4 linked regions of the Yarrowia lipolytica genome follow. The protein of the gene in region 3 purifies or fractionates together with the protein of the main gene of each other region. This does not show direct contact. Links are inferred from orthologs where the notes say so. Each region holds a gene or a part of one and is shown on either strand. Other genes may lie near its edges.

Region 1 (7,330 bases), on a different chromosome or scaffold from region 3:
CCGATCTGTAGAAACAAGATGAAAAGCGGCAGCGTAAGGGTGATAAAGGTGGCTCCAGGGATTCCAAAGAAGTCGAGGTCCGTGGTCTTGGGGTTTAGTCGCTGGGTTTTGCCGTCAATGACCGTCGTTTTGCTCTTGGCTGTCATTTTTCAAGTGGTGTCTATGCTGTGTGCGAAGACATGATGGACCATCTCGTGTTTATAAAGTCAGTTAGAGTTGCATGTGCATACGACGGAAACGACATGACCGATATGAAGTTAGCGAGGGGGCTGTACAAGTACATCAAGAGCGCGGCAAACAATCCGCACCGTCTCGGATCATTCAGGGTGAAATCGCCAACAGCTTTAATACAATACTAAAACAAGGGGACTAATTGAGTTGCAGGGTATCAACGACTTGCATTACTCACTCGATCACGTTGGCGGGAGGGGGGACTAATGATGACGTAATCCGGTTTCCATGAGTACAGGTACAATACCACAAGTAGGAGTCTAGTTGTTTTTAATATGTTTTGTTTTTTGATCGATAAAGAGTAATTATTAACATAACTGGCTTAATTTGTTTGGTTTTAGTGCTCTAATTATTATTCGGAACCTTTCCTTGAATTTCCATAATTTTCCTCCATTTTAAACAATTTCACTCCAACATCACCAACCTAAAGTGCAACACCACCCCAATCCAACTCATCAAGACAACAGCAGCTAGCCATCACATCTTCATACAATGCAGCAAATATCGCTTTACGCCAAAATCAGCAACTCACAACTCAAGATATGCCTCCATGCGCTCGCTTCGCTGACAGGAATGGACCCCATAACTATCCTACAACACACCATGGTGTGGGCTCCAGCACAGAAATACACCCCTAAAATCCTGCCAGGACAAGGAGGGCAACTGGATCAGTACAGAATCCACGTCACCAACGATAACAAGAACGAAGATAAAGAGAAGATCATCAGTTACGTGCAGAGCAAGGATTCCAAGGAGGATATCCATAATCTGGCAAATCGACAATGGCACTTTCAGATCATGGAGATGCCCGAGGCAGGAAAACAAAAGACCACATCACAGAGCATTTCATCATGGAGCGTTAAGAAGGGTGACTCTTTTCAATTTTTACAGTCGCTCGCCTACAAGTTCCAATATGAGTATTGGCAGAAGGGCTTTCAGTTTGTGTACGGCAATGCAGTGATTCAGCTGACTCGTATTCATATTCTGGACCAGACCACAAAGAACATCAAGCTGCTGGACCCTTCGAAACAGTGGCTGGTCAAGGTGTACATTGATGTAGGGCATTTGACGGACATTGAGGCTCTCAACAAGGCCGTCAAGGAGCTGGAGAAGGTCAAGACAGAATTGCATGGACTCATGAATCTCGAGATTCCCGATAGAAACGCTTTCGACACTCGAATTCGATAATCAGATGCACTTACACAAGTACAAGTACTTTTACGAGTACTGTAATCTGTACTCTGTGCCTTGCATTTCCTCACCAACATAGACTTACAACACTTAATAAATTAGACTATAACCATTTATTATTTATATTCAAAAATAGCAACATGAACACCTACATACACCTGTGCTAGTATTGTACCGGTACAGTACAACTACTGTACAAGTACAACCCCACACACTATCATATTCTATCAATCAATTAGTTATGGTTTTATTTTATTTCCAAGCCGTGGCCCAGTGCCAATTTATCTCTTCTCCTTCTTCTCGTTGAGCTTTCGTCGCTTCTTGAGCTCGGCCTCTCGGTCGCTCTTCTTGTCGTTGGAGTACTGCATCTTCTTGTACAGCTTCTTCTGCTTGTTGGACATCATGATCATTCTGAGCTTCTTGTCCTCCTCTTCCTGTTTTTCAGCCTTGGTCATCTTATCAGCCTTTCGCTTAGCCTTCTTGGGAGCAGCAGCGGGGTCAGCCTTGGTGCCCTTAGCCTCAGCCTCAAGCTCTCGCTGGTGCTGCTTAGCCTCGGCCTCGGCCTCTTCCTCCTCATCGTCCTTGTCGTAGTCTTCAGGAGCAACCTCAATGTCCTCATCATCCTCATCATCATCAGAAGCATCAGAAACATCAGCGGTAGGATCGTAAGTACCAGCATCTCCCCAGGGGGAAAGATGGGCAGGGAGACGCTCTCCAGGGGCGTACTCAGAAACGGGAAGAAGCTTTCCTTCATTAATGGAGTCGAAGACCCACTGGGGCTGAACGTACGTTCGACCAGGGACTTTCTCTCGAAGAGTGGGTCGATCTGTGATCTGGTGAGTGACGCTGGCGAGATTGAACTTCTGCTTAAGAGTCTTCTCATCAATGACGTTACCTCGGGTCTCGTCCTCATTGTCGATGAGTTCGTCCATGGCAGACTCAGAAATGACCTTTCCTCCAAATGCGATGATCAGGAACTCAATGATATCAAGGGGAACCTCTCGACCAATGAAGATAGTGAAGTTAGAGAAGAGCTGACCGGCGGTAGAGTTGAATGTGGGCTGGGCAAGGGCGTCACCCTTCTCGGCGGAGAAGGAGTCCAGTCCGTCGTCCTCGACTTCCTCCTCTTCCTCAACCTCCTCCTCCTCGCCGGCATCAGCCTTAGCAGCCTTGGACAGAACGGCAGCAGACACGTTCTCGACCTTTGCCTCGGAGTTACCCTCAATCTGGGGGACAACACCGGCGTTCTGTCGAGACTCCAGCACGTACGCATTGATACCTCCAACACCACTGAGCTTGGTGGAGTTGATGATGGGAGGGAAAACAAGACCGTTCTCATTGTAAAGCTTGTAGAGAACGAAATGCAGTAGGGTGGTGTAGAACTCGAGGAATGTCAGCATGACTCGGAAGTCAATATCGGCAGGAATGTTCTGGGGGAATCGGAAGGGCACGAGCCACATGACCTCGACTCCTCGAATGTTGGCAGAGTAGTAGACTCCCTTGATGGAAACAAACACTTTTCGCACAAGTCGTTCTCGGGCAACAAAGGCCATCCACTGGGTGCAAATGGCCTCGGCTTCGGAAACAAGTCGAGCAGAAACGTCGTCGGAAGCAGGCAAAGCGGCGAAAAGGAACAGCATGGACAGAGCATCGTCAATATCTCTCAGAGCGTCCATGAAAGTGGGGTATCGCTCCTTGATGATATGGTCCAAATGGTATCGAGGTCGGTTCTCGTCGATTCGCTTGGCATCATGAAGATCGCCTCGACCAAGAGCTCGGGTCAGCTTCTTGGCAAAGGTCTTGTGCTCTCGGAACTTGTCGAGAACGGGCTCATGCAAAAGGTACTGAATGTCCTTGGCGTAGTAGAAGGTGACGGGAGCTGTGGATCCCTTGTTGGCCTTCTTCTTGCTTCGGGGCTCTCGAGGGTAGATACCCTTGAAGATACAGAGCCGTCGGAAGTCGGCAAGCGAGACCTGTAGCTTTCGGATAGCCTGAGTTCGAGTGATGAAGTTTCGAGCGGCTCCAGCGGTATGCTTTTTCTTGATCTGGCCCATTGTTGTGTGTGTGAAGAGTAACAGACTTCTGAATATTTTTTTGGGATAGGATTTTTACAATGCATAAACTCTATAAATTTCTGCTGGGACATTTTTTTCGCCCAATGCATGGATTGCTTAGTAATCAGGGAGTTGAATGGTGCCAGGTGAATATAATATATTTGGTAATTTCGGATGCAAGAATGAATATTACCATGTCTCACCATGCCATACTCCTCATTATATAAGGCCACATACTTATACAGTAAGAAGTGTACATCACTTATCTGTGGATTAGGTTTTGCTGCCCTCATCGCCACTAATAAGGCAGTATCTTTTCTCAAGTAGACTTGATAGGCATCGTCTGCAGCAACATCCACCTCCACACCTCTTCTATCGCAACCATACCCATGAACTTCTTCAGAGGCAACATCGTTCTGGGGAGACTGGCTCCTGGTTTCTGGAAGAGTACTCAGACTCTGGGCTCCACCTCCAACCCCATTGTCAAGAATGTGGTCGGTCCTACCCCTGGCCAGATCAACACCATGTTCCGGCAGATGCAACGACTTGGCAAGCGGGGTGGCATTGCTGACATGCTGAAGGAGACCCGAGGCAAGTTCAATGCCCTGAGGAACGATACAAAGACGTTTGCATACAACACAAAGGGCCTCTTCACGGCTCGACCCTTCACCAACTTCGCTTACGGCGATGGTGCCCGATGGATTTACCCCGGAGGTGATCCCACCAAATACATTCTGGCCAAAGCTCTGGCCTTCTCTATCGGTACCATTGTTGTCTCTTACTTTGCCTTTCCTCTGTTGTTCAAGTATACACCCATTGGCGTGTTTGCGCAGCGGCCTGACTGGATGATCTCTGCCATCATCGGTGTCAATGCTGCCTTCTTCTTGCTGTGGAAGTCCGGTAACCCCTGGATCATCCGATTCATGTTCGAGAACATGCTTCTCAAGACCGGGCCCGGTTTCCGACCTGCTCAGCTTATTGGATCAGCCTTCTCCCACCAGGAGTTCTGGCATTTCTTCGTTAACATGTTTGTGCTCTATCAGTTTGGTATCCCTGTTGCTATGACCATGGGATCTGCCTGGTTCTGCCACATGTACATGACCTCTGTTGTTGTCTCTTCTTTCACCTCCCTGCTCGTGCCTTCTCTGCTCGGCCGAGCAATTATGTCTCTGGGTGCCTCGGGAGCCATCTTCTCCGTTGTTGGTGTTTTCTGTTCCGTCTTTCCTGACGCCACTATTGGTTTCTTCTTCGTTCCTCTGCCTTTTGGCGCATGGTGGTTCTTCCTCGGTTCCATCGCCATGAACGTTGGAGGTATTGTTGGAAGATGGGGTCGGTACGATTATGCTGGACACTTGGGTGGATCCCTGTCTGGTCTGTACTTTGGCTGGAGAGTTAACCAGTTCCGATCCGAGATGCGAGAACGAATGAAGCGACGAGGATACCCCGGTTTCAACTTTTAAACATTATGTAAATTATAGATCCATGATATAGATAAGCAGGTCTCTGTTCCTTCCACTATCGTAGTACATACTGTACCTACAGTACATACTGGAATGTATGTACAATGTAGTCTTAGATGAGAAAAGCGCGTGCGTGTGTGTGTGTGTGTGTGTGTGTGCGTGTTTTGTATGCATTAATCTACTTGTATATCCATTGTATGTACCGGTACTGTTAATTTCATTGGGTGGGCTCCTCCTGCTTAATATCACGGCTGACAACGAAGAATCGGCCGTCCTTCTTCTCGGCACAACTCAGAGCATCCCATAGAACCTCGGGACCAGGCTCTCCAGAGTCCTCAGCTGTGAGCTGCTCGTATGTAAAGTCCTTGATGGGAGTAAGGCAGGTCAATGGAGCCACTCCGCTGACATCAATGTCGTGAATATGAGAGACCAGGTTTACCTGAGTTCGGAGAGTCTTGATGAGAGAAAACATGGTCTCATCGGAATCAGGCATTGGCAGTGCAGCACTCTTGAAGATGGGTGCCAGCTTTTTTGAGACCTTCTGGAGGGTCTCTGAGGTGATTTCGTCAGAAGAGTGGTCTGAATGCGACAGAAGTTCATCTGTGGACCATTGGTTTTCCGGGCTGTTCATAACCTTGAGGATGTGCTTTTGGTCCTTCATTTTGATGAATCCATCGGATGAGAAGTGGATTCCCCGCGAAGAGGCCATCTTGACAGCATTGTGTGACACTCGGGCGATTCTAAGCATTTTCGTGTTTGTGGTGGTGGGATTGCTCTTTTTTGGCTTCAGATCATGCAGCCCACAGGTTAGAGATGGCTTAGTAAGCGCTAAAGATGGAGACGTGGAAGGATATCGGAGTGAGTGGCCCCCGCCCCCCTACTATAAAGTGCAGGAGAGGCGTGTGATTGAGAGCACGACGATTGCGTTGAGCCCCTACATCGAGCTGTTGGCCATCTCGACATGCAAATGCTGTTGTAAGACACGACAAGTACTGGTACAGGTACGAGTACAGTATGTACATACTACACAGTACAGCAAGTATCCTAATTACATCAATCGCCTGTCATTACAAGCCCACAACGTGTCGCCGGTACATTCCAGTACAAGTACATACAAGCATTTATTTTTATTTTATAATAACATAATACATTAGATGTGTGCTTGCTGTCTACTCCCGTCAGCTGTCAGCTGTCATCCGCCACCAGCGCACTTACTTTCCTGAATCTGACTACGAGTCGTAGCTACCAATACAGCCACTTCTGCCTGTGGCCGATTTTAAAGCTTTTCTCACATCTCCAGCTCGCTGTGTTCTACTACGGAATGCCTTTCGACGACAACTGGGTGGGACTGTCGTGCCTGTGATTTCATCACGGACTGCGATCATCAAGACGGTTTATGCGACGTACAGATTGATGCAGTGGGTTTCGCTTCCCACTCATTGGGTATCAAGGGCGGAGTGCGGCATCTATGTCCTAGTACTTACATTTACAACCCTCCTGGGGAGCCACTGGGACCATAGATTCTTCACATATTCAATGGGACATGTCGACGAAGTTTTTATTGTGTTCTATTGCACTGTATGAATACCTGGTACAGTTCAACCTATTCCTACCCGGCCCTCCGACCAATGAAATGTGAACTTAGCCCACGTGCAGAATCCATGTGGGAAGTTTCATACATGCAGGACCACATGTGTGCCCTGGACGTGTGCAAAGACCATTACCAGTATACACAGAGCTCAAGTAGCATCATTCTGGAGTCCTCGTGTCTCAGTATTTGCCGGTTACGAATATTCCCGTCAGACCCAGCATATACGGCCGTATACTTTCCGCATTGTGAAGATTATTGTGAATCGTATTTTGGGTTCGTGGAGATAGGTCAGTGTAAAAAGACTGGGGGAAGCTGTTCGCACCCTGGATCACCGACGGTTGGAAGAAAACGGTTCACTTGCAAGCCTAATCCACCCGATAATGTCGTTTCTGCAGTCCATTGCAATTTTTCCTCATTTTTCATCCTACTCTTAGCGTATTATGACCTTCAGAATTAGTGCGGTTTGGCTAGGGTAGAAACTCTATATGGTTAGGTTCAGATCGGGAGGCGTAATCTGGTGAAAAAACGTCGGAAGACCAGATACAGCGTGCTGGGGAGCAAGAATCAGCCAAAAGGTTATGGTAACTCGTATATATCCCCCTTTTTTCTAGAATCAACCTGTTTCATATTCCACGCTATCTGGCGTAATCTCCAAACTTCCCACGGTTTTACCCTACCAAAAACGTACATCGAACTTTATGCTGGTTAGCGACGACGCTAAAGTCGACGAGGATATCAATCCTTCTTCACTTGGTAACGAGCTTCACAGAACACACATTCACACAAAAGTGAGTATTCCTGAA
Region 2 (10,262 bases), on a different chromosome or scaffold from region 3:
GGAGCAATCAACGGCGACTACGGTCAGTTCCTCAGAGATATCAACTGGGTCAGCAAAAACATGCCCACTAATGAGATTGAGAGACAAAAGATGATTGTGAGTTGACCAAACGAAGAGCATGGGAATGCTGACCAACGAAAGAGCAAGTATATATGTGAATAGTTACGACGTAATGATAATGAATTGGGTGAGACGAAGCTTGTGTTACAGCTTGGTACAGTATATATAATGGCTAACTGTTGCTTGTCACCAAGACAGAAGGCTATACTATATTATTGTAGCAAAGTCACGTACAGTATCACGTATTATCTTGGCAAGTGTCATTGATATCTATATAGATTAGATCTGAGAATAAACGTAAGGACCAGGCTTCTGCTCAACCTGAACATCGACCTTGGCCTCGAGCTCCTTTCCATCAACAGAGATACCGGCGGTCATTCGATCTCCAGGGTTAACAGGACCCACTCCCTTGGGGGTTCCAGTGAGAATAATATCACCGGGCTGAAGAGTCATGATGCTGCTCATGGTGGACAGAATCTGGGGCAGCTTGAAGATCATCAGGTTGGTGTTATCGGACTGTTTAGTTTGTCCGTTGATTTCAAGGTGAAGATGCACGTTGTGAGGATCGGGGATCTGGCTCTTGGGAATGAAGTTGGAGATGGGCAGGAAGGTATCGAACCCCTTGCCAATTGACCAGGGCAGACCCTTCTTCTTCGCCTCGTCCTGCACGTTTCGAGCAGTCATGTCAACAGCCAGAGCGTAGCCATCAATGGCGTCAATGGCGTCCTGCTCAGTGAAAGTCTTGGGGTTGAGGTTCTTGAGCTCCTTGCCGAGAATTGCAGCCAGCTCTACCTCGTAGTGCACAACAGTTCCCGAGGGCACGAGCATGGGACCCTCGTTGGGGAGCAGGATGGAAGACGAGGGCTTGAGGAAGAAGAAGGGCTTGGAGGGAGCCGTGTTATTGAGCTCCTTGATGTGCTCGACGTAGTTTCGGCCAATGCACAGGATTTTTCGGGCCTGCTGGGCAAATCGGGTAGCCATGCTGTTAGTGTGGTTGGTGATGAACAAGTCGGAATGACTGATCCGTCCGACCTGAAATGTTAAGTTTGGGAGTCTGGGGTGCAGAGCGGCTGATGACAGTGAACAAACCGCCGGAGTTCCGAACATCGCTTCTTGTTTGCTGGCGAGTCACGTGATTCCAAATCCACAATTGACAGGGCCTTGTATTTTTTTGTTAGATTGTGTCTTGAAGAGATGAGAATGTGGTTAGTTGCGTACATGCCACACACGATACAACTTCTCCGAGTTGGTCCATAAAGGTTTCAGTTTTCACTAATTACTGTACATCCTGTGTACTTAGTAATGAGAAATCTTTAGTATGGACATAACAGCGTTGAGTTCGGAGGTGCCATTATGATCTAGATTACTATGTAAGTGACAATAAAATCAATACAGTCTTCAGACGAATCATGAGATTACAATGATAGGCAAAAGTGTATCACTTGTAAGACAAATAATACCTGCTACACATGTTGGTTTGCTCCAGGGTGGTGCAGTACGCGATAATGAACCATATACTGTACTAAAAGCTGCTGTAATTGAGCTGCGAGAATAGAAAGAAATGCTCAAAAAATATGAAAAACAATAACAAAAAAAAACAAAAACAAAACAACAAACAGTACCGCCGCGACTAGGTACACGATATCAAAAAATTATCATCACTTGCCACATACAATACAAGTGCAAGTAGTACCAGTATGTACTCGTAATTACTGGAGGGCCACATTCACAACAAAACTCAAATACTGTATCACTGGTACATCTACGCAACAAAATTATCAATCAATATATCCAATTTCCATTATTATACAACCATTCATGCCAAGTTTAGACACGTCAGTCCGTTCTACTAAGGCCGGGGAGTCACCTGGGGAATCCGAGGGTTGTTGGCATCCTGCTGTCCGCCCTGACCTTGTCCACCTCGACCACGTCCTCCACGTCCACGTCCTCCACGTCCTCGACCCCGTCCTCCTCGTCCTCGGCCTCCTTCATTGGCAAGTCCGGTGGCAGGCTGCTGAGAGTTATCAGAAACCTGCAGGGCAGCCATCAACTGTGCAGAGAGGTCTTCATTGCCCTGAGGAGTTCCCTGAGGAGCGCCCTGCTGGTGCTGCTGGTTCTGAGGGCCAGGTCCCTGAGGATAACCCTGACCAGGGTAGAAAGGCTGGGGAGGGTAATATCCGGGAGGGAAGTGTCCTTGAGGGAGGTAGCCCTGGGGGGGAAATCCCTGGGTAGGGAATCCGGGAGGGGGAGGGGGTACAAATCCACCCTGGGGGCCTCCGTAGTGCATAGGAGGGCCCTGCTGCTGGTGCTGAGAAGGTCCCTGGGGCTGAGGGTTGGAGTACTGGTTCAGCACGTTGCCCAGGACCTGCTTCTTGGCGTCAGCAGAAGTCTTGGACTTGAGAGAGTCCAAAAGAGCCTCGCTCTGTTTCTTCAGCTCCTCCTCGGTCTTGGGAGCGGGAGCAGGAGGGACAGTAGCAGACTCTGATACAGCAGCGGTAGCAGCAGCCACAGCAGTGGGGACCTCACCTAAAGTAGAGGTCTCAGCAACAGGAGCAGCGTCTCTGGGTCGCTGAAGAATCTTGACACCAGGAGAGGGCTGCTTGGGCTTGGGCACTGCAGAAGCGGCAGGAGAACCCTGTCGGCCGTTGTTTCGGCCCCGGGCGTTGTTGGTCTTGCCGTTGGTCTGCTGGCCATTAGCCTTGCCACCTCGGTTGCCGCCCTTGGGTCGGTACATCATCTGCCGGTTGGTCAGGTTGATGACGGTGTTGGCAGCGACGTTGAGACCTCGGTTGGTGGAAGCTCGGCCCTGGAAGTTGTTGCCACCGACAAACTCGTCATCAAACAGCACATCCAGCCGAACATCCACGCCAACGGCCTTGATACCGATCACGGTACCCTGAGAAAAGATGGCAGCCTTTCCAGAGTCCTGGACATACACAACCCGGTCCCCCAGATCGAATCGCTGGCCACGAAGCTGGTGGAAGGCCTCATCAGGTCGAAGAACAGCCTGACGAGGAGTACCCTTCACAACGGAGGGGATAAACCGCACAGCATCAGGGTCAGCAGCGTTCTTGACGAGATAGTTCTCAAGAACAGAGATGGACTTGACCGATAGAGACTGAGTGTCAATATCCACAGAAGTCAGTCGGGAGGCGTTCTCCTTGAGCCATCGCCGAGCAGATTCAAGCATCTTGTTGACCTCAGCAGGTTCGCCTTTGACCAGAGCAGAAATGTCAGGCACGCCCTTGTCTCGGTTGGAACCAATACCCTCGACCAGCTTGGGGAAGGTGTTGTAGTAGCTCTTGACCAGAGCAATGGCATCCTGGGTGTACTCCCAGCCCTGCTGAGTTCGCCGGGTGTAGCCAAGCACCTTTTCTCGCTTGCCCTCATTTCGCAGGTTGAGACCTACGTCAATCTTAGAGTCTCCCTTCTGAATCAGACACTTGGAGCAGATTCGACCGAGGAGAGACGACTGGATACCGGCCATCTTGGCGGCCTGATACGAGGGGTAGTACTTGGTGGTAGCGTACTCTGTTCGAGCAATCTTTTTACCCACATCCGCAAGCACAACAGCGGGAGAGTTGGGTGCAGACTTCTTGACCTGGAGATCCATCTTGGTGTTGCCAATGTGGTTGACAACCTGGGCCTCAGCACCATAGCAGAAGTCGGACATGAGAATGACACGCGACTCGAGAGGGAACTCGGCAGCGATAGGCTGAGCAGCTCGCTCCTTGTACCGCTCATCCTCGTTGACCACCTTCTCAACAATAGTCTGAACAGGGAAAGAACCAGTGGCTCCAGTAAAGTCCTTGACAAGAGATCCATCGTCTCCCTTCTTCATACCAGCCAGGAAACGGACATGAAGAACGACAAAGATGTTACCGCTCTTGATACCCTGCTTCTTGATGTAGTCGTTCTTGATCTTTCGGGATCCGGTGGCCCACTCCTTGGCCATGGTGTCGGAATGGGGAGATTTGTTGACCTTGCCGTTCTCAAAGGTGTAAGAGAACAGCTCGTCTGAAACAGCAATCACCTTGGCCTCTCGCAGGTAAGGATAGTTGACGTAGATGGACTGGTCCATCAACTCTCGAGCAATGGATTCGGGAGATCGGTTCTTGTAGGAGTTGATGATGTTGAGCACCAGAGTGTTGTTTCGCGAATCCTGCTGGAAGATTCGAACACCAGCAGCCTCAATGTCGTAGGTGTAAGGAAGGGTCTTGAGAGAGGGGAATCCGGACAACATGTCCTTGCCCCACTTGGAGCCATCCTTCTTGCCGATGACCACGTCCAAACCGTCCATGGAAGGCAAGTCAAATTTCTCAACCACACAATGACAGTGCTCCAAGTTCTGGAAGACACCGGGCATAGAAGACGGGTAGACATAATCCTGCTGGGGCGAGTATTTGAATAACAAGTTGTTGCCAAATGCGTTTCGCTTGTTCTCTCCAGCAGTAAGACCAGTCTCCTTCGTAGCCATAGCTGTCAGAAGACGCGACTCGTCCACAAATGGGATCTTGACCACTGCCTCCCAATCGGCCTTCTTTCCGTTCTTGTCCAGCTCAAAGTCGTTAGGGTAGAAGTCATAGATGGGCGAGTTGGAGTCGGCCATCAGGGGCCAGTAAGCTTGAGGAAGGAGCTTCTTGGATCTCTCAGGCAGCACACCCATGAGCTGCTGGAAGGGCTTGAAGGGCTGGCCAGCCTTGAACTTGAGATTGGCCTGCAGACCCTTACGCACATCAGAAACTCGAGGAGCATAGTGGTAGCCATAGTACCAAGACCACGAGGGTACGCCGTCGTAGTAGTAGTGCAGAATCCACTGCAGACCCTCGACGTAGTTTTCGGTCAGAGCCTTGAGCTCGGCTTTGCCCTCGTCGGTGGTAGTCGACCAACCAAACTTCTTTTTATAGTAGTCGTCCTTCCACTCCTCAAACTTCTGATTGTAAATCTCCTCTCGCTGGGCCAGCGCCTCGGCGGTCTTGACAGGAGCAGCCTCGTACCGCTTGAGGGTCTGGGAGTAGCCAATGAAGCGCTGGGTGGCTTCTTCAGGACTCTCCTCGTCTCGGAGGCCATCGTAATCGACGATTAGCATACAAGATGTGGAAGAGTTCTTGAGAAATCGGCAATCGAGGTCCAGAGAGATCTCTTTGACGAGAGATTCACACTCTTCGGAGAGAGTATCAAATACGATCTCGGGCAAATTATCAGGATCGTAGTCCGACTTGGACTTGTTTTTAAGATGGGCATCAACAAAGGGGCGCAGTTTCTGCACAACCAGCTCCTTCTGTTGGGGTGAGAGATAGAGCTTCTCGCCACGCTTGGACTTGTATTTTTGAGTCAACTCCGGAAGATCCTTGTTGATCCAGGCCAGATCAATGGCCTGCTCCTCGAAAATACCAATTTCAAACTTTTCCATCTCAGCCAGGAAGAGATCCAGGCGCTGCAAGTTGATGTTTCCTCGGTCATTGATGTAGCCGTCGGAAATCTTCATTACCTTTTTGTACAACTCTACAAAAAGAGCATGGGAGTCCTCATTGATGTGAATCTGAGGCAAGTTGGGCAAGAAATCGTTTCCGACGAAGAAGAAGAGCAGGATGTAGTCATCCAGAATTCTCTCAAAGTCATAGGGAAACGAAATCTCGTCAGCAAGGTCCTGGAATTCCAGCTCAAGGTACTCTCGCAACAGAGAAATGTGCAGAAGATAAAAGTTCTGCTCCTCCAGAGCCTTGGGACCGGCTCGTCGGGGACCGAAGACAACCTCTTCTCGCAGAAGAGAGAAGTGGGGGTCGTGGGAACCCAGACCCAGCATGATGAGATCGGCATCCAGACCGTACACACAATGACGGGTGTTGGGGTCGTAGTCAGGCTGGGCCTTGTTGATTCGGATGCACTCGTTGATCTTGTGCTCTCCTTCTCCTGGAACCTCGTGACCAGAAAGAACAATGTCAATGTTCTGCCAGTCAGCGTCCTCACTGACCTTTTTGTGCACAAAGTAGTTGAGTTGGGTGGTCAGTTTCTCCATGAACTCGGTTCCGGGAGTAATAGCGTTGGAGTCGAATTGGTCCTCCTTCAGGATGGTGCCCTCCTCCAGAGCCTTGGCCTTGGCCTTTTCGGCGTCGAGGGCAGTTCGGAATCGTCGCGATCGCTGCTGGTTCATCTTGGCTCTCGGTGCGACTCCGTCAATGGCCATAAAGAAGAGTTTCTTGGGCCGAATTTTGGAAAATAGATGCTCAATGTACTCGAAGATGGCGCGGAACATTTGTTCTTCCGTCAGCTGGAACGTCACATCTGCGTCCTTGTGTGTGCACACGTGCAGAATCGAGTTCATATCGAGGTACAGATTGTCATATCTGGGTTAGCACGGAAATGTTGTGATGTGGCTGTGGTGGTAACAGTTTTGTGTGTTATTGTGGGTTTGATCTGGCCTGAATCATGTATCGAAACAACATAGAACATTCGACAAGGGCTTTCAAACGATCCTCCAGTCACAAGGCTCTTGTTATACGTTCCTTCAGGTCGTCTAGTGTCGTGGTTTTGGTCATCAGTATGCTGACCGATCAGACACCCCACAATCACCAAACGGTCGTGTTGCCATCTCCAAAAACACCCTCACTGCTCTCATACTCACTCAGGAATCTGTGTATCAATCACTTGTTGGGAAATCAGCGGCCATCGCTCACTGATGTAGCGGAAAAATTTAGGAATACCCATTGATGGTGTATCTGCTGTTGAAAATCAAATCTTGTGATGTGGTGGGATGTAGGGACAAGACACTTAACTTTAAGGGAAACCAAACGACGATAGAATGCGCATAGTGGCGACTATTGGTGGCGGTAGACAGAGAGAAAGGAAGCCTTTGGAAGCGCAGGTATGACTTATTCCGATAGCCGGATGAGATGAAGTGCATCAGATGAACGACTCCCGGCTTATTGGAACCATATGGAACGCCGTGGATGGCTCGATACTACCTTACCCGGCAGTGATGGATGCCTGTCACGTGTCCTACAGCACAACTGCAACATACTGTATCTATATGGTTTGTAGGCTGCTTCAGAAACGTGCCCTACCCATACGGAGGATATGAATCTTTACAGGGACTTGCCTAACCTGGAACTGAGTTATTTCGGGCGAAAAATAGCCGTACACAAGGTTGCATGAAAGGGTTCATCTCGTATGTATGTATTGTAGATACATTGTACGATGCAGTTATTGTTAGTCAGAACGTTACGAGGATTAGCTGTGGAGTTTAGCTGTGGAATTTGACAAAATGTAATGTAGACACTGCATTAACTAACTTGACTGAGAAGTCAGAGTACGTACAGTACTGTAAGTAGAAATGGCTAGGAGAAGGTGACACGCCCTGTACCACCCACAGAACGAAAGCACACATCTATTTCAGACGACATTTGCCACTATTTTGTCTTTTTTCGATCGCGTTGCCCCTTTTTTGAATTTCGATGAGGTTTCCTGGAAGATGCAGGTCTGACAGTGGAGGGAAAGAGTTTCCGTACTGTGCCGAATGTTCACTGTAGTACCTACTGTATTTCCACAAAGTATGGGACTGAGATGGTTCATAGAAAAAAGTAGAGTATCAGTGTATTTAGTTAGTTTCAGCAAACAAAATTATGGAAAAATCACGCTTATAGGGCTATTATTACGAGAGTTGGATAGATGTCATGCTTTCCGCCGTATTATCACGCGAAAGTTTATCGATCTTGGTTCGACTCACATACGGACAATCATACAGAAAATGCAGCAACCAGAGAGAACTCACGGCAATTGGGAGTGAAGCTGGTGACAGAATAGCTCCCCATTTTCCATCAAAACAGTGAATCACAATGGAATGTTCTAGAGCAACCTAAACGCCGGGTATTTCACACGTCGATTACCGCCAGAATAACGAAGAAGGATACGGGAAAAAAAATACTGTAGGATGAACACTGTACTGTAGTCTTTCCTGGTGCTCCCTCCCAACCAAGCTTCAAATTTGAAATTTCAGAGAGATTGACAAGACTGACCCTGAGTTCGACTCCACGACTTCATGAATTTCAAGATAAGGCGTTTAATCGAAATATGTAATTGATGATAGAAAGGAGGCAGTATTGATTTTTTTTAAAGCAGTACTCATCTAAGTAATCTATGGCCTCCGTTACCTGCTGCTCTGTTGTAGTGTTTACACCATCCATCCGCTTACATCCTCAGCCTTGTTGGCTTAATAAGCAAAATTATCAACAGCATGCAGCAAAACAAACCAAACTTTTAGAGACGCCATCACCACACAGATACATCATGTTCGGCAGCACTGGATTCGGACAGAAGCCCGGAGGCTTTGGCGCCGCCAATACCGGCACGACCGGTAACACTGGTGGCGGGTTTTCGTTCGGCCAGAATAACAATTCCAACTCCACTAACACCAACACTGGCGGAGGATTCGGGTTTGGCCAGAACAACACCAATCAGACCAGCAACACGGGCGGTAACACTGGAGGAGGCTTTTCGTTTGGCCAAAACAACAATGCTGGAGCCTCTAACACCGGAAACACCGGAGGAGGACTTTTTGGAGCCAAGCCTGCTGCCACCACTGGAGGAGGGCTGTTTGGTCAGAACACAAACACTGCCGGTACTACTGGTACTACAGGCACATCTGGAGGTTTCTCTTTCGGCCAGAACAACAACAACACCACTTCGAACACAAGCACAACCGGAGGCGGTCTCTTTGGAGCTAAGCCTGCTGCCCCCTCAGGTGGGGGGCTGTTTGGACAGAACACATCCAATACTGCCAACACCGGAACCACAGGCACCACCGGTGGACTTTTCGGCCAGAACAACAACGCCGCTTCTACTAACACGGGCGGCGGACTGTTTGGTGCAAAACCCGCCACCACTACTACTTCAGGAGGTGGTCTTTTCGGTGCTAAGCCTGCTACTACCGGTACCGGCTTTGGAGGAGGATTTGGACAGAACACAAACACAAACACAAATACTGGAGGACTTGGATTTGGTCAGCAACAGCAACAGCAGCAGCAACAACAGCAACAACAGCAGCAATTGACCGTCACTCCTCTGACCAGACCGTCGGATCTACCGGAACATATGCAGAAGGAGTTTGAACAGATCGACGAATACATTCAGCAGCAGGCCCGAATATGCGATGAGCTGTCCACGAACAAGCTGCAGCATCAGGAGATGATCGAGTCGATCCCCCGAGATGCTGAGCTCATCTCCAGAAAGTACATCACTGCTTACGAGGCTCTGGTGCACGACTCCGAAAACATGAACGAGATCAAGACTCGATCAGACATTGCCGCACAAGAGGCGCAGACGTGTTTCAACCTGCTCAGCTACCTGACCAGTCAGACTCCTGGCCGTCTCAACTCCAACCGACCCGCTGGAGCTCCCAGAGAGAACGGCGATCCTCTGCTCAACTACTTTAAGACAAAGTGTGAGGAGTACGAGAAGCGAATTGAGGAGCTGGCAAAGGTGACGGCCGAGGTGGAGGCTGGTGTTGTGGGACTGGAACAAAGCGGACCTCAGAACCCTTCTGTGGTCATTGACAACTTTACCATTTCGCTGGAGGAGCTATACAAGCTGTTCATGGGTCTTGGAAACCGGGTGGCCGAGTTGCATCATGTTGTCGAGCGGCTTGAGCAGCGGAAGTAACTTTGGAGGTGTAGCTACATGATATGTATATTGAAGGAATACTTGTAATTGTAGTTGATTTGGTGTAACGAGTATTTACTACAAGTATAAACGTTGTAGACAATAATAAGGCTACAAGCAGATGAAGACAAGCAAAGTATCACCCCTTAAGGCGAGAGGCTTTTGGTATGGTCAAGCGACTTTATGGAAGTATTGATTCGAGAACACCCCTGTACATACTGTAAAGCTGTAGCTGCCGCATGTAACATATTGCTCAACTGTTCTAACTAACGTTAAGTAAAGTGACAAACTCAAAGTAAGCAAGAATAGCATTATATTTCTTTATATCTGAGAACTCCGGTAACTTGTTAGATAAGTAATAACAACCAGATCACTTTCATAAATTTTTTGGCGTACGTTTCATATTTCTACCGTATCTGGGACACTATTTGCGCCCTCAGTCAACTTTTCCCTAACTAACTCCCAACTAATTCTCTTTCTGCAGCTTAGTCACGTCACTATAATAAAGTTTCGAGTGCATGGGTTTACGTACGTACAGTACGTTG
Region 3 (6,900 bases):
CTCTTCTGGTGGCGGTGGTCCGGGTGGCTTCGGTGGTTTCTCGTCTGGCGACGCCTTCAACATCTTCAACTCATTCGGACAGCAGGGCGGATTCGACGATGAGGGAGACGACTACGGAGGATTCGCCAACCTCTTTGGCGGACGTGCTGGCCGCCGTGCAGGAGGCATGGGTGGCGGCATGGGCGGTATGGGAGGCATGCCGCGCCAGAGGGCCCGATCGCCCGAGCGAACACAGGTGACAGTCAAGATGCCCGTGTCTTTGGAGGACCTGTGCACCGGTGCCACCAAGAAAATGAAGATCACCCGAAAGGGCCCCAGTGGCCAGCCCGAAGAGAAGGTGCTGACCGTCAACATCAAGCCCGGCTGGAAGGCAGGCACCAAGCTCACCTTTGCTGGCGAGGGAGACTCTCAGCCCAACGGTGGCCAGCAGGATGTGGTGTTTGTCATTGAGCAGAAGCCCAACCCCGTGTTTACTCGAGACGGTGATGATCTCAAAATGTCCATCAAGCTGTCTCTCAAGGAGGCTCTGTGTGGATTCACCAAGATCATTGAGACCCTGGAGGGCAAGAAGCTCAAGATTGAGCAGCGTCTGCCCATCAACCCCGGCCACATTATCACCTACCCCAACTATGGTATGCCCATTTCCAAGAAGCCTGGTGAGCGTGGTCAGTTGATCATCACCATCAAGGTGGACTTCCCCAGCTCGTTGACCGACGCCCAGCGAAAGGCCATTGAGGACAACTTTTAATAGACTAACTTATTGTACATAGAGTGCAAGAGCATTCACATGTAAGAATTAATAAATGATAGCATGATCATGGAGACAATTGTACGTGTGCATGAACAACTCATTACTGCAGCCTTAGTGCAACTCTAAGGATGATTTAGTTGGTGAGGTTTGGCGGGTGTAAAGAGGACATGGAGGTGTTTATAGGGATCAGGGGGAGGTTTGGAGGGTAGGAAAACATGTAGAATGTCTTTTAACGTCCAATTGAGCTGATGGGACTTCTGAGCGCCTTCATTTGGGGCTTCTGACGGCTCTGCTGAAGAAGTTGGTATTGTGCTGTCGACGACATTTTGAAGGCTTTTTAGCATAATTAGCAAACTAAATGTGCAATCGACGTGGGCAGATAAGCGGTGACGTTTGGAGGGCATTTTTCATGTACATGTACAATCACGTCGACGGCCCGTCAAGTGTTCAGAGGGATTATCGTCTTGTACGAGGCATGTGGGTTCTGGATGTGGGTTCTGGAACATTCTAGAATCTGTCGAGTTGAACGAATCTGTCGAGTTCAGCGAATCTGTCGAGTTCAGCGAATCTGTCGAATTCAACAGAAGAGCATTGTGACACAACTTCTTGCAAGCTGATGTGTGATTTGACGACGAGTGGCTGTTTGCATTGGTGTACTAGGGATGTTTGTACATTGTGCTTTACGGTACGAGTACGAGTAGTGTAGTTATGAGAACTTTTTTCATCGACTTTACATCTCCTACAGAACTGAGGTCAAGAAGATGGGTTGGTTAGAGTGGGAAATAGAGGTTCATCTTCAGGTGGTGGTCGTGGACGCATCTTCAGGTCGTAGAGACATCTTAACATCACGAAGATACAGTAGTTATTGCTGGTACGCACCTGTACCGATACTAGAAGCCTGTGCTCTGAGCTCGTCCAAGTGGGCTGTGAACATGCCTCCGGAGAGGGAGCTTGGGTGACAATTACTGTTACAGCCGAGCCAGTTGACCAAGTAGCCTCCGTACTTACCAACGTTGTCTCATTTGATCAGGGAGGCGACGCAGGTGTTGCGAATCCATCGGGTGTGCTCCTCGAGCGACAACGCTGGTCGGAAGCCATGTCGCCACAGCGCTTGAAGTTTTTCACATGGCTGAAGTTCTTCAGGCTGACGGTCAAGGGAAATGCCACGCTCATCCAGAGCTTGGAGCCACTCGGGGTCGATATCCGGGTAGCCCGATAGATGGTCAATCTGAGTACGTAAGTTGGATGGAACGAAGAAGCCTTTGACCAGCTTCTTGGCCCAGGTTGGTTGGCCATAACTTCTCTGTTGTTTACACTGCCATGCTCTCCGTGAAACCGCCTTCTGTTAACAGTTGGGTATTCAATCAGACGGTATTCAAGGGGTGTCACATCATCAACTGTACGCATACTCGCAGTCAACTTTCTCAACATGATTTTTTCGTCCACATACCACCTCTTGTCTCTGTAGGCCTCATACCGCGTGATGAGCCTAGCTTCAATACAGAACCAGAATCCATACAAATCTTAGCCATCTTCTACTGCCACTCTTCTTTAGTATTCACACTGACAATCTACCCTTCCACTCTTCAGTCCAAGCCACTTTGCACCTTTTTGTCGGAACCAAATAATAACATAATTTACATGCAGACACTAATCCTTGCTCTTCTTCTTCTTCTTCTTCTTCTCGCCCTCGTCGTCGGAGTCCTCGGCCTTTCGCTTCTTCTCCTTCTTCTCCTTCTTTTCCTTCTTTTCCTTCTTGTCCTTCTTGTCCTTCTTTTCCTTCTTCTTCTCCTTCTTGTCCTCCTCCTCATCGTCAGAGTCGGCGGCCATGGAGACATCAGCCTCGACCTCCTTCTTGGGGGCCTCGACAGCAATGGTCTCGGTCACAGAAGCGACAACGGGCTTGGTGACGGGCTCGTCCTCAGTGTGGTCCACGTAGCTCTTCTTCCAATCGGCAGGAGTGCTCTCGTTGGGTCGACCGTACTTGTCGAGCTTACCGTCGGCCTTGAGCTTCTTCTTCTCGGTAGCAACGGGTCCCAATCCCCATCGTCGGGGGTAGGTGTCTCGCTCCATGATGCATCGCTTGATTCGAGACACGACACCGTGGTCGCAGGAAGCAAGGTCGACGGTGGTCATCTGGGCAATACCAAGAGCAATGGCCTCACCCTTGGTGGTGATGAGCACAATCTCGTCCTCCAGCTCAATGCCCTCCTCGTATCGGAGAACACCGGGAAGCATGAGCTTGGCGCCGTAACAGATGGAGTTGACGGCGGAGTCCTTGACTACAATTCGCTTGTAGCCGAGCAGCAGAGACTCAAGGGGTCGGATGCATCGTCGCAGGTACGACTCGTCCTTGGTGTTGTCGTAGAGCCACTGGGCATCGAGAATGTCGTGCAAGGTGACCATTCCGTCGGACTCGTCGAGAGCACCGGATCGCACTCGTCGCAGCTCCTGCATGTGGCCTCCAACACCGAGCAGCATACCCAGATGCACACACAGGGTTCGCATGTAGGTACCGGCCTCACAGGAGGCCCAGAAGACACCGAGGTGTCGGTCGTTGTCAAACTCAAGCAGCTTGGAGTCGTAGATGGTTCGGACTCGCAGCTGTCGCTTGACGGCGGAAATGAGAGGAGGTCGCTGGAACAGGGCTCCAGTGAGGTTCTCGAGGCCACGGGCCATCTCCTTCTCGTCCTCAAGAGCATCGTGGAGTCGCACGATACACACGTACTCCTTTCCGGCTCCCTGCTGGGACTTGACCAGACGGGTGGCTCGGTCGATGCACACAATCAGACATCCAGTAACCTTGGGATCCAGAGTACCAGAGTGACCGGTCTTCTCGCATCGCAGGATTCGCTTGATCCAGGCAACAACCTCATGGGAAGAGGGGTTGGAGGGCTTGTCGAGGTTGATGACACCGGAAGCAATGTACGACTTGAGGTCTCGCTTCAGAGGAGAACATCCGGTGGGGATGGGGGTGTAGTGACCGGACCGCACAAGCAGCTTGTCGTAGTTCTTGAGCAAAAGGGGCCACTCAGAGGTGTCGGCCGAGGGGCCAACATTCTCGGGCTTGATGAGATAGTCGGTTTGTTCCTGAACAACAGCAGACATGTCGATAGTGTTGCTAGGTCGATATGTAGGAGAAGCTCTCAATGTGAGTTTCAATTTTTTTTTCACTGCGCAGAATTTTTGTACTTTGGGTTTGGATTAGGGGAGCGGCCAGGATTGGGACGAGTCCTTCTGCATTAGGGTATGGGGTTAGGGTGGCGGTTAGGGTACCGGGGAGATATATTCTGGTCATTCACTTGACAAGGTGGTTTGTGGGTGTGTGACGTGGGTTTGGAGGTGTTTTGGCCGGTATTTTGATGCTCGATCTACGTTTATTGTACTTATATCGCCACAAATCAGTGACTGCGTTGCGTGAGCTAGATTGTAGGCATATAGGCAATTGGAGTGTCGTATGGAGTGTGACAACATAAACAGTACAAATACAGGTATATATAGGTACGTGGTCATGGCAGCATCTCCATGGCCCGGATGTTCAAACCCCGGCCACACTTTGCTGACACTCACTGAAAGGGCTCATGGCTGGGTTGCCCATCACTTCAAGACTGCTCTGAACTTAAGGTTCTAGGATGCGTCAAGATGGTGAATGGTGGGTGAAGGGGGAGTCAGTTCAGGTGCTCTTACGAGGTATTTATCGACGAAGGGTGAGTAAGGTCACGTATTATATCACCAGTTCGAGTTATATGCTCGTATCTCGATTATTAAGCGACTGAGGAGAGTGTTGTGGCATTTGGCAACTGGACAAGTTTGTGAGGATTCGTACTTACAGTAGAAGCGGTATGGGAGCTGAGAGGTGAATGGAAGGGGTCCAGAAGAGACCATTTTTGTATGACAATGGGGGGCGAAGAAGACATAGATAGGAAGTATACGTGACCAACAACAACTAGCATACGAGATTTATATCACACCTTTGTCAAAAATGGCCGGTTTAGGTGTCTACTAGTCCATCCCGGGGAACAGGCAGTGATCACCAAAGATAAACGAGACAAAAAATAGTGAAAAAGATGCCGAAAGCAGCTAAATCGAAGCTCCTATGCGAGCCCATCAATTTGATATATTGAAAGTGCCATTTTTTTCATTTTCTTCTTCGTAACAATGCTTCATGGACTGACGAAGGAGTATGTACAGTATGTAGTGTACGAGAGGACATTCAGAGTCTGACTGGACATGGAGTCCAGTGACTATAATATAGCAGACAGATCTACACGGAGGAAAAAAAAGGGGATACAACGGAGACCTGGAGATATCCCCAAGGACTAGCACTTCGCCTTTGGCCATGTTACAGGTGATTTCTCAATGGGGTCTGATACAATACAAGATCATCAAAGTGAGAGGCATACATCTCCCTAATAGAAGTGTCTCGATACAACAGGAACGGGATCGGAACTAGTAGTCACACCATACCACAACCTACAAGACTGTACGTACAGCAGCTGAATGACTAATTGCTGTACTCCACAGTTGTCTTTCTCCACGTACATGCCATCATACATACACATGATGTCTCTCTCGGAACATGTCTTCTTGTATCCGGTCCAAGTCAGGATGACAGAAGTGAAATTTCACCCAAGAAAATACAGTGCTCGTACAAGTAGGCCATTATTATATACAGTGGGCTCGCGGCAAGACAAGACATGGTATATTACTAAGCAAAAGGACTCGGTAGTGTGCGTATCCTACTCCTCGTACAGATTATTCATACGGTCGGACTCCGATCGCCTACTCCTACCCTTTCTACCTGCATTTGGTCCACCGCTCAACTGCATCTCCAGTGCCGTTCGTGCAACTAAATCTTAGAGTTTGATCCGGATACAAGTATCGGCTAACACCTCTCTTTCTCCACATCTCCTCTCTTCACACAATCATGACCGTCGACCAATACCCCGCCAAGGCCCACGCCCTCAAGGCCGCGCAACACCTCAAAGCTTCCGGAGCTTCCGACGACGCTCTGTGGTACATTGAAGCTGCCAAAACCACCCTGTGGCCCCATTCGGACCAGACCGTGCCTCTCAGACAGCACCGGTACTTTTACTATCTGACGGGCTACGAGGCCCCCGACGCCATTGTCACCTACTCCGCCAAGGACGACAAGATCACTCTTTACATTCCCGAGATTGACGACGAGGAGGTCATGTGGTCCGGCCTGCCGCTGTCTCCCGAACAGATCCGAGCCGTGTCTGACGTGGACGAAATCAAGTACATGAACCACCTGGAGAGCGACCTCAAGGGCAAGAAGCTCATCAGTGTCGAGACCTACGACAAGCGAGACGCCGTGACCATGTCTCAGCCTTTGCTGGACGCGCTGGACGAGGCTCGAGCCATTAAGGACTCACACGAGCTCGCTCTCATGCGACACGCCTCCGAGATCACCGACAACTCGCATCTAGCCGTCATGTCTGCTCTTCCCATTGAGAAGAACGAGGGCCATATCCATGCCGAGTTTATCTACCACTCCATCCGACAGGGCTCCAAGAACCAGTCCTACGATCCCATCTGTTGTGCTGGTACTTCTGCTGGCACCCTGCACTACGTCAAGAACGACCTGCCCCTCGACGACAAGCTGCTGGTGCTGATTGACGCTGGTGCCGAGTGGAAGAACTACGCCTCTGACGTGACTCGTTGCTTCCCCATCTCCGGAGAGTGGACCAAGGAGTGCCGAGACATCTACGAGGCTGTGCTGGACATCCAGAATCACTGCATTGAGAAGATCAAACCCGGCGTAAACTACGAGGATCTGCACCGAGACGCCCACAGAATTCTCATTCGACATCTGATGCGACTCGGTATCTTCACCAACGGAACGGAGGACGAGATCTTTGACTCCCGAGTCTCCTGCGGCTTCTTCCCCCACGGACTCGGCCACATGCTTGGTATGGACACCCACGACACCGCCGGCCGACCCAACTACGAGGACAAGGACCCCATGTACCGATACCTGCGTCTTCGACGAACCCTGGAGGAGAACATGGTGCTGACCGTCGAGCCCGGCTGCTACTTCAACAAGTACCTACTAGACCACTTCATCCAGCCCGAGCAGGAGAAGTTTCTGGACCGAGCCGTGCTGGACAAGTACTGGAAGGTTGGCG
Region 4 (6,169 bases), about 1.4 Mb from region 3:
CCAAAACAGGGTCAGGACAAAGCGAGCCATTCTACTGGATACGGCTGGGTAGTTTCTGTATGTCTCAGATATTTAGAAGACACGTGAGCCACATATTCGCTCTACACACTCAACATTCATCTCTTGTACATCATATTTGATTCTATAATACTATCTCCATATATACAAATATGTATCTAATAGCTCTGCTGTGGCTCGTTCCTCTCGTACGCTTTCTCGCTTCGCTGAAAAAGGCTCGCTTATCGCCTAAAACAACCACCACTTCTTTCGATGCAGCTCGACAGCCTTCGCCTTGTACGACTCCATCTCCTTCCAGCAGTCTCGTCCCCATTCACAGCCGGCCATGTTGACAAGGAAGTCTCGTGACTTCTCGTCGTAGAACAGCTGCTTGTCATTCTCCATCTCGGAACAAGCTCCGGGAGGCAGACCGTTGATTTTTCTGAGGGGCAGAAAGCCGACCCGTCCTCGGATCCAGGGCTGGTTCGTGAACAGGTACTCCAGCGCGTCCTGCTCCTTGTGCTCCCACTCCATGTGCCTCTGTTCATAGAAGACAGGGTCCCACCACAGATCGAGCAGCTTGTCGGTCCAGTCGGACCGTCGAATGAAGAAGGAACCCAGATTGAAGCCTCCGCAGTCCTGGGTGACAATCAGGTCGACGGGCTGGTTGTAGTCCACGTAGGGGATCTGCACGGGTAAGTTCAAAGGGTTGAATTGGCCAGTTAGGTCTCGGTAGGTCTCATTGTAGAGGTTGTTGAAAATGTGCTGATCCAGCGAGATCTGGGGCTCCATGATGAGCGTATGCAGATCGAGCCACCAGAACCACTCGGCGTTGGGGAACTGGCGCATGGTCTCCTTGATGATGTCGACCTTCTGCCACGACTCTCTCCACTCGTGAGAGTATCTCTTCTTGAGACTCACGTCCTTGACGGCAAGATGGTAGCCGTGGCGCTCGGCGTATTCTCGCTTGTTTTCAATGCTGCTTCGCTCGATGGCCCACTCTTTGGCTCCCTTCCAGTGCATGACTCCTCCACCCTCGTTGGCAGCCAGGATAATCACGTACTTGCCCGAGCCCCAGTTGAAGTGCGGCACAAATGGCACGGCTGTGAAGAAGGACAGCAGGGTCAGCAGCAAAAAAATGACGACAAAGATTTTGCGCCGTATCAGGGCCGTAGCCAAACCCTCGATGAAGCCTCCCACCGTGGCGATGATCCCTCCTCGTTGCCGTCGCGACCACCCGCCCTCGGGCTTGTCCCACGCCGACACGGACGATTTGCGCCTCCAGTTCTGGCTCATTGTGTGTGTGTTTTTGTGTTTGTCGTGGTGAAGTGTATGTGTTGATGTTGTCTTTTTGGTGATGAGAGTTAATGTACAGTAGCTTGGTAGACATGCGTGTGGTGGACGTGCGTACTTTATTTCAGTTGGACCAGCATCGCTGTATTTGTAGCTAATGGACTTGGTGAACCTGGGACATGTCTTGGAAGAGCATACATACTACGTGGACGACGTAAGTCATTTCCGTGAGAATAATTACCGCTCTCTCTTGCTCCTCAATCTGGTACAGTATTACGTGTATATCTGGCGCCTTACATGTTCAACGTCACAGAATTTTTCGTCCCAAAAACCGTGTGCATACTACATACGTCATGGTGACGCTGAGATAATGAGATGATAGCGATGTAAGGACAGGTACGAGGAGCAGGACCATAGAAGATGAAGACTAGAACCGTACCAGTAGTATTGAGTGATCGCTGCACAATACCAACCCACATCTCCACCTCGTCCATCACTACAACCTATTGTTATTCACGACGATAAATATGCTCATGTGGACCAGTTACTTCTTTTCATCTTTAAGCTCCACTGACGGCTTCAAAGTGGGTACACGGCTGGTGGGCATGCTTAACGAGTACTTGTAGCTACAGTAGAGAAGAGGTTGTAGACAAGGCAATGGTACGATGCACGTGAGCTTTCACATCGAACCAGGCTTGACTGTAACCACCTCACAACTGCTTAGTCACATCCACTCACACGTGCCACCCCTACTTTTCTTTGTGCGCTTGTGCATCCTCTTGTCCATCTTCAGGGGCAACCTTTTTCACTACGAGTACATACTGTAGTTACAAGCACTGCTCCGAGGCAAGGATCGTCCTGAGTATGTGCGAGCTGATGACTGGGTGAGGTTATGAGTGGAGAGATGTTGATTATATAATAAAGAATGATGATCTGGGTACAGTGTACTGTGCAATTTGGTAAGATAGGAGTATGTACAATTGTACAATACTGTAGTTACAGATACACTGTGGTGGTGACGTAAGATACAACATTCGCCTGCACAATGGAACATATAGAAAGACTCTTATACTACGATACAAGGGGCTCCATGGTGAACGACCAAACACAATGTCTATTACTTATGCACAGAATAGCGTCTGGAATGGAACGTTGAAAGTGGGTTGGTTAACGAGAGTACACTGTGTTACTGTACTTGTTGTACTAAGAGCCACACACTGTGAGACAGATGGAGATGGCCAATTTTGTGATTAAAAAGCAAGATATAGAAAAAGAAGGGATATATTGGGCTAAACAAGCGGAGTGGTGGCGTGATATAGCTTCTGTGGCAAAAAGTCATGCAGTAGAGTGAGTGACTAGTTTACTGTAGGCTACAGTACTTTCAACCCAGGAAGCTACTTAGCCACATTGAGTACATTGCACAAGTACATTACGTAATTGTAATTACGTAATTTACAGTAGAGGGCACAGGAAGTGTAACAGGTTCGGGCACACAACAAATCGCGCGCATCTCTTGATAAGGACATTTGCGGGGTACTGTAATAACAAAACACTTCAAACAGAAGGATATAAAAACCACATGATAATTTTTTGAACACCCACAGACATAGTTTTCGCCCGTTTACTGAGAACATGTTTCTCCCTCTACTTCTTGTACTCCATCTCATCTCATGCACCCAAAGCTTATTGGGAAAAATTATGTGGTGTGCATTATCAGGCTGAAATTATTCCATTACCAGCTGTACACATCCTACAACGACTTTTACAATGGGATCCAAAGACAAGAGCAGCAAGAAGCAGGCCAAGGTGGTTGACGAGGTGACTGACGAGGTGACTGACGAGGTGAAGGCCGAAGAAACGGTCGATATCAAGACAAAAACTGACGAGACCAAGTCTGAGAAGAAGGATAAGAAGGACAAGAAGGCCGATGAGAGCAAGACTGAAGAGAACAAGACTGAAGGTAAAGCGGCTGACAAGACTGAGTCTGAAATTGACATATCGAAATTATCCAAGAAGGAGCGAAAGGCTTTGGAGTTCAAGAAGACCAAAAAGAAGATCGAGAAGGGAGAGTTAACGGTGGAGGCTCTTAAGGAGGAGAAGAAGGAGAAAAAGGAGGCCAAGAAGGCCGAGGAGGAGGAGAAGAAGGGTTCCAAGAAGCGAAAGCGGGATGGCGAGAACGGCCCTGCTGCCAAGGCGGCTCGATTTATTCTTTTCTGTGGTAACTTGCCTTATGATATCAAGGAGGAGGTGATTGCTGATCATTTTAAGACCTGCACTCCTAACAAGATTCGAATTCGAGATGCCAAGGGGTTTGCATTCCTCGAGTTTGAGGGCGACGACGCCTCCAGACGGATGAACGTTGCTCTCCGAATGCATCACTCTACTCTTATGAGACGAAAGATCAACGTGGAGTTGACTGCAGGAGGAGGAGGCAACTCATCCAACCGACGAAACAAGATCCAAGAGAAGCGACAGAAGCTGGACGACGAGCGGTCGGAGCGAATTGCTAACGAGGAGAAGGCCAAGGCTGAAGCCCAGGCCAAGGCTCGAAAGGACGAGAAGAAACAGAATCTGGCTTCGGCCCACAAGAAGGCCCACAAGGAGTTTGCTCCCCAGACCAAGAAGCCCAAGACCAGCACTCCCGGTGTCCATCCTTCTCGACAGGGTCTGATTCGGTAGAATAGAGGAATAGGCATATAGATAATGGACATAATGGAATGGTGGGAATAGGTAGTGATTAGTACAAGTACCGGTAGTTCTACGTACTGCTGCTGGGTACTACTAATAAGTCTCAAGTAAAATCGGTAATTATCGTACAGTATCGTACCAGTACTTGTATATACTGGTACGATACTCGTACCGTAGCAAAGCGATAGCCTGTTTCCATACGAATGCCTAAAAGTACGGTACTCGTACTCGTACTTGCCCGACACCGTATTGAAGTCTTACAGTAAGCTTCATCGACTACTCAGGTGTGCTCATACTTGTAGAAGAGGGTTCAAAACATACACAAAGAATGACTGAATTGAAAGCAGTTTGGCGGGATAAAGCACAAGTTACCAAATGAAGATAAAAAAAATAGATATCAGACCCATAATCACCTTGTTCGGCGGTTAATTCAAAGGCTTTGACTTGTGGCTAGAGTTTGAGACTGTGGAACTGTACGTTAACTGGAACGACCTACAAGTACCAGTAATGCGTGGAAGGGTTAAGGGAGAATGAGTAAGGGTAACAGCACTCGCCCTTGTAGCAACTACGATGCTGCTCGTGATACCGAAGGACTTGTACGAGTAACGGCAGATACTATGGACAAAATGAATACCTACGGACATGACGTTATAGACAGCTATTCATGACACCCGTCAACATCAACATATCATTCATTCCTCATGAAAGTCCGAGAAAACATCCCGTCTACATTCTCCTCTGGTCCATGAAACAGTGACAATCTCTTGGGTGATGTTTAAACCGCCTGGTGACTTCGGCTACACGTCTCGAAACGGCTGCGGGCAGTGCTCCAAGGTTGACTGGGGTGCGTGGAACTACGATAGACTCTCGGATATACACTGCTAGTATACTCACGCAGTTTATTTAGAGCGTACTGGTATTGGGCTGGATGAGTTTACAGGACAATCTTGGTCTGCTGGTGAAATGTAGGAGCGACATATATGGAACTAAGTCTATGAAAGTGATAGCACTTACCACACTGTATGTTTCGTGTAACCTGGTCTGAGGGACTTTTGTAGGTTCAATCATAGAGGAACGTACATAGGCTGACAAAAAAGTTGAACAAGTGAATATTTTTGACGCTGTAATCGTTTCGTATTATACTGTGGGGATACGCCTCACTTGTTCCACACAGTTGTTTACATCCCTTGCATTCATGTACCACGCGTAGTTATTCACGCGACAAACTCAGACCCAGACAGTTGCACTAACTCACGCACCCCAACTCAGAGCCAGAAAAAGTTGGTGGGCCATGTGAGACAGATGGGCCTGTTGCGTGCGATTAACAGGGACGTCTCTTTTCAAGTAAAGTAGCACACGAGAGTTGAGTTTGTCGACATCAGGAAGGTGCTTATATGATACTTTTACGACAATATACTTATACTGCACCACAGTGTACAGTATCGACAGGTCAGCTGGACAGGTCTGTAAAGAAATGTTTTTGGTTGACACTAGTCAGGGGTCAGATCCAGACACGCGATTCATTCAGCCGCATCCTCAAGAATGTATCAGTGCATATACCGTATGTACTGGAGACAATATGAAGAAAAAGATCATTAAATAAGAGGAAGAGTTGGAAGTTCAACCAAGCGGGAGAAGAGGAGGAGAAAGAAACGGTTAGGGGAAAAGCCATTTACTTGATGGGTTAGCGGTTGCTCTACTCTACTTGTTAATACAGACGTCTATTCTCTAATAAATAATGCTACACAGTGTGGTAGACTTTGTTGATGGCAGTGCCCAGAATCTGGGTGAAGTTAGGAGGGTTGGGGGTAGACCAGGTCTCGTGACCTGACCAGTAGTAGTATGCTCGGTTGGCCAGCAGCATGGAGTTCTGGGGCAAGTAGAGCAGAGCCACCATGAGCAGAGCAGCTACCAGCACAATGACAACGTTACAGAAGCCAGCCTCCAGAGGAGTGATCATGCCCACAGTGAAGTGGACCTTGTAGGTGTAGTACCACTGGCCGATGAACGACGACGAGTAGGGCACGACATCTTCCTCGTCCAGGAGATGCTTGACGTTGTTGTTTGAGTAGTACATTGTGTGTGTGTGTGTGAGTGAGCTGGGGATGACTGAGTCGGTATAGAGGGGGTTGTGCAATGGAGTAGACCTTGAAGGAGGATGCTGTTAATGCAGGAATGGAGATGCAATGAA

Evidence for each region.
Region 1: the proteins of YALI1_E16451g (region 3) and YALI1_B30214g purify together in Saccharomyces cerevisiae (affinity purification with mass spectrometry; 3 studies listed by BioGRID). This does not show direct contact. The link is inferred for Yarrowia lipolytica from reciprocal best matches to the Saccharomyces cerevisiae genes CBF5 and NOP7.
Region 2: the proteins of YALI1_E16451g (region 3) and YALI1_C31971g purify together in Saccharomyces cerevisiae (affinity purification with mass spectrometry; 4 studies listed by BioGRID). This does not show direct contact. The link is inferred for Yarrowia lipolytica from reciprocal best matches to the Saccharomyces cerevisiae genes CBF5 and XRN1.
Region 4: the proteins of YALI1_E16451g (region 3) and YALI1_E30707g purify together in Saccharomyces cerevisiae (affinity purification with mass spectrometry; 3 studies listed by BioGRID). This does not show direct contact. The link is inferred for Yarrowia lipolytica from reciprocal best matches to the Saccharomyces cerevisiae genes CBF5 and NOP6.

The regions. Positions count from the first base shown.
Region 1 is NC_090771.1:3,017,985-3,025,314, forward strand, and holds YALI1_B30214g (uncharacterized protein), read right to left. Parts: upstream 3,477-7,330; coding exon 1,704-3,476; downstream 1-1,703. Other genes in the region: YALI1_B30181g (uncharacterized protein), read right to left, coding at 1-146; YALI1_B30182g (uncharacterized protein), read left to right, coding at 183-218, 706-1,419; YALI1_B30218g (uncharacterized protein), read left to right, coding at 3,866-4,936; YALI1_B30234g (uncharacterized protein), read left to right, coding at 5,395-6,090. UniProt on the Saccharomyces cerevisiae protein: Component of the NOP7 complex, which is required for maturation of the 25S and 5.8S ribosomal RNAs and formation of the 60S ribosome.
Region 2 is NC_090772.1:3,190,705-3,200,966, forward strand, and holds YALI1_C31971g (uncharacterized protein), read right to left. Parts: upstream 6,769-10,262; coding exon 6,686-6,768; intron 6,408-6,685; coding exon 1,910-6,407; downstream 1-1,909. Other genes in the region: YALI1_C31900g (uncharacterized protein), read left to right, coding at 1-105; YALI1_C31918g (uncharacterized protein), read right to left, coding at 340-1,167; YALI1_C31989g (uncharacterized protein), read left to right, coding at 8,197-9,717. UniProt on the Saccharomyces cerevisiae protein: Multifunctional protein that exhibits several independent functions at different levels of the cellular processes. 5'-3' exonuclease component of the nonsense-mediated mRNA decay (NMD) which is a highly conserved mRNA degradation pathway, an RNA surveillance system whose role is to identify and rid cells of mRNA with premature termination codons and thus prevents accumulation of potentially harmful truncated proteins.
Region 3 is NC_090774.1:1,642,086-1,648,985, reverse strand, and holds YALI1_E16451g (uncharacterized protein), read right to left. Parts: upstream 3,860-6,900; coding exon 2,402-3,859; downstream 1-2,401. Other genes in the region: YALI1_E16493g (uncharacterized protein), read left to right, coding at 1-748; YALI1_E16433g (uncharacterized protein), read left to right, coding at 5,679-6,900. UniProt on the Saccharomyces cerevisiae protein: Catalytic subunit of H/ACA small nucleolar ribonucleoprotein (H/ACA snoRNP) complex, which catalyzes pseudouridylation of rRNA. This involves the isomerization of uridine such that the ribose is subsequently attached to C5, instead of the normal N1.
Region 4 is NC_090774.1:3,067,654-3,073,822, reverse strand, and holds YALI1_E30707g (uncharacterized protein), read left to right. Parts: upstream 1-3,057; coding exon 3,058-3,969; downstream 3,970-6,169. Other genes in the region: YALI1_E30725g (uncharacterized protein), read right to left, coding at 247-1,293; YALI1_E30677g (uncharacterized protein), read right to left, coding at 5,720-6,055. UniProt on the Saccharomyces cerevisiae protein: Predicted to be involved in rRNA processing.